Kluyveromyces lactis: one gene and its partner. The protein of the gene in region 1 purifies or fractionates together with the protein of each later gene. This does not show direct contact. Links are inferred from orthologs where the notes say so. Each region holds a gene or a part of one and is shown on either strand. Other genes may lie near its edges. The genes, in order: PDP3 and NTO1.

The links.
Region 2: the proteins of PDP3 (region 1) and NTO1 purify together in Saccharomyces cerevisiae (affinity purification with mass spectrometry; 3 studies listed by BioGRID, with this or other methods). This does not show direct contact. The link is inferred for Kluyveromyces lactis from reciprocal best matches to the Saccharomyces cerevisiae genes PDP3 and NTO1.

What each region holds. Positions count from the first base shown.
Region 1 is NC_006038.1:945,689-948,710, forward strand, and holds PDP3 (Pdp3p), read left to right. Parts: upstream 1-1,426; coding exon 1,427-2,440; downstream 2,441-3,022. Other genes in the region: BSP1 (Bsp1p), read left to right, coding at 1-746; KLLA0_B10824g (pyridoxal 5'-phosphate synthase), read left to right, coding at 2,905-3,022. UniProt on the Saccharomyces cerevisiae protein: Histone-binding component of the NuA3b histone acetyltransferase complex. Targets the NuA3b HAT complex via histone H3K36me3 to the coding regions of actively transcribed genes to coordinate transcription elongation.
Region 2 is NC_006041.1:584,418-588,787, forward strand, and holds NTO1 (Nto1p), read right to left. Parts: upstream 2,791-4,370; coding exon 607-2,790; downstream 1-606. Other genes in the region: SEA4 (Sea4p), read right to left, coding at 1-415; RTG3 (Rtg3p), read right to left, coding at 3,328-4,370.

The DNA of each region.
Region 1 (3,022 bases):
CACCAAAGAAAAGAAATTCTAGCAAGGACTCTAGCAAGGACTCTAGCAAGGCTTCTACCGCCAAGTACAACATCATCGACACTGATCCAGTGGACGAATTCTCCGAGGTTTTCCAAAAAATTAGATTGTCTCAGGGTACCACCGACGAAGAGTCCAAATGCAACGGTAAAAAGAACGGTAAAGTTGCACCAAAGAAACCTGCAAAAAAATCTGAACTTAGAAACCCTAAAGTGAGATCATCAAGACCTTCGTTACCATCTGATGACGATGCTTACAACAGCAATGATGATGACGATGACGAATATGACGAACAAAACGAATTTTTCGCTGTAAGAAAATCGCTACGTAAGACCCACACAGCACCATCTCGTCGTGATATCACTCCAGAAGCAGTTAAAGCCAAGTCTAAACTGAACAAACCTCCTTCTTCTATCAGTTCTGTAGAAGAAATACCTGAAGCGATGGCAAAGAGGCAAGCTCTTTTGAGATCCTCAACGGAATCGGAAATTGAAAAGAAATCCTCTTCATCATTAAAGAGCCTACAAAAGCATGGCTCAAAGTTCCAAAAGCAACTGATTAAAACAATCAACAGTAGTCAGGCCTCTCTATCGGCATTGGCGTCGTCAACTGCATCATCTGCAAACTCATCATCTGACGCATTGAATGCGAAGACAAAGAAAATGCTAACAAAGGTACGTTCTAAGGGTCCAAAACGTAAGCTCCCAACAGACGTCACTAAATTGTAAATACCTCCTTATTCATATTAACTCGAACCACAAACTAGTTGCACAATCCGGCAAAAACGCATTCGTCAACTGCTAATGTGCGTTCATTGATCTTGTAAAGTTACCCTTCTAAATACGTATGCCTTTAATTCCTAATTACTTATTCCATTTTCCGACCTTAAAGCTTTTTTTTTATCCAAAACAAAACAATCAATTATTTCAAATTATATTCAATATATGCTTCTTGAGCAGTTGATATGGAATTTTGATTGCCGAAGTTCCCATTCATATTTCGTCCAAACAGTCTTTCACTGGTCAGAACACACGCAGCTATTACTGTGGTGTTGTGTGTGAGAAAAGTGATTACTGGTAGCTTAAGAGTTTTGTTTTCGTTTTCATCTCAGTTCATTTAGGGAAGGAGGTCAAGTTAATTCTGTTATACGGCCTCTTCTTTCCTTTGCTATTTGTGTTGCCAGTGCGAAGTTAGAGCGTAAGATTTTAAAGCTTCTATTCTAGCGTTTAGCATTCTTTCTGTCGAAACCGTTATTTGTGTTTACCTATTGAGTGCTCAAGAAACTGAGAAAGAGAGATATCAGAGTTTACTATTTGATCTTTACGCCCTGACATTTAGGGTTTTAGTTTCCTTTCCATTATACTTACAGATTTTACCAATCCGAATACACAATCTATTTAAGCAAAATATGACAGACGGGCTTTTAGTTACTGGTGACCTGGTTCTTTGCACCGTGGGCAGTTACGAACCATGGCCAGCTGTAGTTGTTCCTCAACGGATATTGAGTAAGAGTGTGCTGAAGGCGAAGGAGAACGTTGGTCAAGTTGCTGTGGCATTTTTTAACGATTCTACCTATTATTGGACTAAACCAAAACAGTTAAAACTTCTTACTGAGGAAAATATAGAAGCGTGGATAAAATCGCCGCCCAAAAGGTCTTCGAAAGAGTTGAAGAAAGCTTACCAGTTTGCATCCGACTATACGAGTTTGCAAGAGTTTGTCGAAGACAGGTTGACAGCGGAGGGAAGAGCGGATGATTTGGAAACTATCGCTGAAGTTAAGATGGGAGAGGACCCATTACTTTCCAATATTGAGTTAAAACTGGAAGACACTAAATCTACGGATAAAAGACGGGGCAGAAGAAGAAATGAAAGCGAATCAGAGGATTCTACCTCCAATAATAACAGTAACGGAAGTACCAAAGCTAAAAAGTCGCCCAGTAGTGGAAACAAAAATAGAGACTCACCGGTATCTACACCTGTCGCAACATCTGTTTCAGATTTCAAGAAGAAGAGGGAAAGCTCATCAGAATCTCTCTCGACATCTCCTTCATTCGTACCAGAAGAACCTCCCAAGAAACGCAGTAAGCTTGACTACTCACGTAGGGTAGAGATTGCTCAAATATTCCGTAACAAATTACAGAAGTGTTTGGTTCAACGAGATACCCCACCAACAGATGCAGATCTTGCCGAGTCTGATAAACTCATGAGGAAAATCCTATCACATACTAAATCAACACCGGAATTCTTTGATTTAGAAGCCCTTAGGGTATCCAAATTGCATAAACTATTAAAAGTCATTTCTAGTATGCCTGAATTATCACAGTTTCACGAATCTTGTAACACTATATTGGAAGTGTGGGCACCTCATGTTCAAAAGATCAAAAAGGAAAAACTGAAACTGAAGGGTTCGCTATCCCCATAGAGTGGATCACAACTGTCACTTTTAATATCTTCGATTCATAATAAGAGCACAAAAGAACCGTTCAAAAGGAAAGCACAAACAATGCATTACTGCTTTATAACAAATTCAATTCAATTCTGACATTATTCTCATGTAAAATCTATCACATTAACCTACATAATCTCATCCCTACCACCTCTCCAGTTACCTCACCGTACCTATTCCTTCTTTTCTTGGACCCTTCAATCATAATGTATCATTATTTACGTTTATCGCTCTGTTCCCCATCAATTGTTATTATTAACAAAATTGCCAAAACCTTTAAAATGACTTTAAGGTAGCAAAATTGTGCACTTCATTACAAACATCAGACATCTTTCCCATAAGCTAGCACATTAGGGAACCGATATTTTAATTATATTTCCTGTAAATTTTTATTGTTTATCAAATACGCCAAGTATTACTTCAATAACTTTCAAGTTGTTATGTCCACTACCGTTGATTTGCCAGAGCATTTAGTATCTTTGCTTAAAACATCCAAATATGTTCATTTAGCCACAGCTTCTAAAGACTGCATTCCTAATGTTTCATTGATGAACTACA
Region 2 (4,370 bases), on another chromosome or scaffold:
CCGTGCTTTGGTAGTTTACATCCCACACCTGTACAGAGGCATCATGCTTATTGCGATCTAAACCCATGGCTATTAGGCCATTTGTATTTATACTCAAACTGTTGATAGTTCGCTGGTGCTTTGCTCGTACTCGTAGATCGAACGGCTCGTATGCATCGTCCGTATCCAAAATATTAAATAACCGTACAACACCGCTTTTCTCACCGACACCTACTATACCTTCATCTGTATTAGAGTAATCTAGACATGTTATATTTCCAAAGTCCTTTACTGTATTCACCTTAACGATGGACTCGTCTGTCTCCACATCCAGCTTCACTCGGTAATGAGAAACTTCATCTCTTGTAGGATTAACAGACAAAAAATCCAACCCTTCCACATTTGGCCAACAAGGAACGCGTTTAATCAAGCCCATGAAGTAATACTGGTGGATTGGCCTCGACAGATGCTTTACTACATTGAATACCGTAATATTATTTGATGCATCTTATCACTCATTCTGAAGTTATCTTGAAATAATTTACCGTATATAGTTTTATTACCCGGATATATGTACATAGGAACAGGAGAGTTAAGTACTGAGTGAACGAAAACTTGATGGATAATTCAGTCACGTAGTAGTCCTTTCAATTGTCTTTCCTGTTTGATCGATAAATCTTCAACATCAGCTAGTCCTTCGCGTGCAAGTATTTTCCGGCCCTTCCAATTAACCTCTTCTACTTGATGTGTTCTCTCATCTATATCGAAATCGTCATGTAATAAAGTATGTACATCTAACTCATCAATCTTAGATAAAAGTTTGTTAAGATCGTTGATGAGCTTAGATCCCATTATTACCAGTGATCTCGGTGACCTCTCATTGGATGTTATTTTCACTATATTTCCAACAAATTCATCCTTGAATTCTTGGACAGATAAGTATTCATCATTTTCAAGCCTGGAGCTAATGTAAGGTATGACCTTGAAATTTGAAGATGATTCGAGGTCTGCAAAAGATTTAAAAGATAAAGTCTTTGTGAGATTGTTCCACACAACATCCTTCAATATATACCTTATCGGATGGAACGCAATGTCGTTTATGATCCTTTGGTTTCTTACCCTTTCAACATTACATTCTTGTTTAGCCACCAAAGATGATGCAAGACCTTCCAATGAATTGAGGTCTCTCAAAAGAACTTCTGAGAATACGATTCTGTCATTTAGCTCTTCGGTATCTAGAGTATTCAAAGAAGATGGGCTGAACTTTCTTACCAAAGGAGCGCCTCTTTTGAGTTCTCTTTTCATTGTCCAGTACTTGCATATATCCAACGAAATTTGCTCGGAATTTGGAACATGAAATCTGTTTAAAACTCTCATTGTAATATCTGCGAAGGCTTGAGGTGCAATTAAAGTTCCCCTACTGGTTTTCCATTTATTCTTAATGGTTTTCTTGGCAGATTGCTTGTTTTCTTCCACGGCACTGTCTTGTAGCACCTTGTGATGATTAATGTGATTAAAATAATCCCTAGTTTTACGAATTCCGTCTTCACAGCTACTCCAGCCGTTAGGAGAATGTTTGTGACAAAAACTTTCCAGGAAAGCACCTGTGGAAAAGTTTTTTGAGGCAGCCTCTTGAACTGTACATCCATTGAAGTTCATGTATAATCCAGCTCTTTTAGCGCACGTAGTGTGATACGCTGCAAAACAGTTCTTATTCGAGCATTGGATGCAAGCACCGACCTCTTGTTTGCAAATATAACATGTGAGCTTCCATCGACTTTTCGGGATATTCTCTATTCCTCCAATCGGCTCCATATAGTGTAGATTTCCGAAATAAAGCTCTGGTATCCAAATTCCACATAACACATGGCCCCACGATCCGTTATCCGTTTGTTTGAAAGCTCCAGTGGTACTGGGACAAAAGAGACACTCGAGCTTTCTATTTTTGGATATCATGCATCTTCGGCAAAGCCACTGACCTTCTGGAATGAAAACTACACCATAGCATTCCTGATGTACGGCGATATCGCAACCATCGCAAAATACTATCGCATTCGAATTATCACATTCTATGCCTCCACATACTGCACACGGTTGATCCATTGGGTATCCAGTACCGTCGTCTGATCCGTATAACTCATGATGCTTCCAGGCAGCATGAGATTCATGCGTATTATTAGTAGCACTAGGTGATACTCTTGGTGGAATTTTCTTCTCTAAATGGAAAGCTTCGTTCTCTAATATCGTAATAACTATTTCGAAAACTTCGTGTGATAACTTATGCTTAGAATTTGTCAGTGCCGTATTTAAGTGCCGAAGGAATAAGTCATCTTGCTCATCCATATCATACTCTACCTTAAAATTAACCTGGTATGGCGAAACATCAGCAAAAAACTCATTGCTATGCTTCATCAATAGATCAGTCTTCTTACAGTATGACTTTTGATCTAATCCGCAAGTACGATCTGCATGAGATCTGTATCCGTATTTTACCAACTGTTTATTAACCTTGCCATGAGGATTTAGCTGTGATATCCGAATCTTACAGCGCTTGAACTCTGCGTTCTTGATTTGAGGTCCTAGCATTTCGATTGTTATGCTATCGTTTACGATCAATTGTTTCCATGACTTCAAATGTTCTCGCAAATTATCGTCAGGATACACTTCTTCTTCATCGTGGCGATGACGATCATTCAACTCATCATGATTATTTTTCCCAAAAAGGACAAGGTCATTTACGTCTAAATCCGGATAGAAATGCTTAAAACTAACTTCTTCTCGAAGCCTAACGCCGTCCTCTTGAGTTTGCATTAGTTTATCCCAACTATATTACAGCCTATCGTATCCAAAATGAGCTTCTTCGGTGAAAAGAGGCATGTCATCACATCTAATTGGATCGTTTTCAACATATAGGCCGATTCATTTATCTTTTTTCTTTGTTATGGTTTTCGGAGTATATATCACGTGATATGATTGAATGTTAATTTGACTTAAGAACTGACTCTGCAAGCGTCCGTAGATATGATCGACACTCATTGAACAATATTAGGGTTAGCATCTTTGAAAAGTTGATCAAGGCGTCTAGTTATCCTTTTATATTACTGCTTTTTCTTTCATTTGTAACGGTTTTATGACATTTTGTGATTAAAAGTGATGTGCCAAGCAACAATTAATAAGAAGCATGAATTTGCATATTATAAAAACACATTATCGTTACATAGCGCATTGTAGAACTAAGGAACATATATATATATATATATATATATATATGTATATTAACTACTTTAAGTGGTATACATTTGTATATTCTTGTAATTAGATTCGAAAAAACCCAAGGAAGATCATCCCCTACTCTTCGAAATCAAGTAATAAATCAACAGGATTTTCGGCACGTCCGCTGAACATTAATTTGCTGTTGTCTTCGTTCTCCATTAATGTACCAGACAAAAATTGTTGAAGATCATCATGTATCGCGTTTGCTCCCGCGTTTGTCTCCTTGACAAGCATCGGATATGTTCTACTGTCAATAATCCTTTCTGGATATTGCTCATCATCGTTAATATATTCATTGTTGATGTGAGCTTGTTGTTGTTGTTGTTGTTGTTGTTGTTGTTGTTGTTGTTGTTGTTGTTGTTGTTGTTGTTGTTGGTGTCGCTGCTGTTGGTATTGTTCTGAGGAGATATGATGAGTAATGGGGGATTCAGATTTGGAAATATGTTGGTAATTTTGAGAAGTTTTCGGGTATGCTCCTGATTGCAACAGAGAAGAATTTGTGAGATCCGACTTTTTTCTTTCGAGTTCAGCGATCTTCTTCCTTAGTTCTTCCTTTTTTGCATCTTGAATCTCTAAAACTTGCTTTAAGCAATCCATATATTCAATTGTTCTTTTCAATATAGTTCCTTTATTTGGTTTTACCTTCTTTCCAAAATCATCGAAATGTAACAATGTTGGTGGAACCAATGTCCCCAACTCCTTTATTTTAGCTTTGATCAGCTCTCTTCTACGCCTTTCGACGGCATTATGAAATTCTCTTCTCCTACGTATTTTCTCATCTTGAGTCAAAGCCGATGAGTTCATGTCTTTAGGCGTGGAAGTCAAACTGCTACTTGTTGGAAACTGTTGCGAACCCCTGTTACTTCTCAATGACGATGAGAGTTGCGAAGCACCACGATAACTGGCAGAAGGAGACCTTAAACTTGAAGACAGTTGGTTGTAAGAGTGGGAATCAAACGAATTCATTGGTTGTGGCTGGTACGATGAAACTGGTGTCATCAGGTCACTATGGATACTGGACCCCAGAGATGATACGAAATCATCTGTAAAGTTGCTAACCAAGTCATCTGTGGCTTGGGAGCCTTGCAAATGTTCGCGAAACATTGGCTCATCGAAAA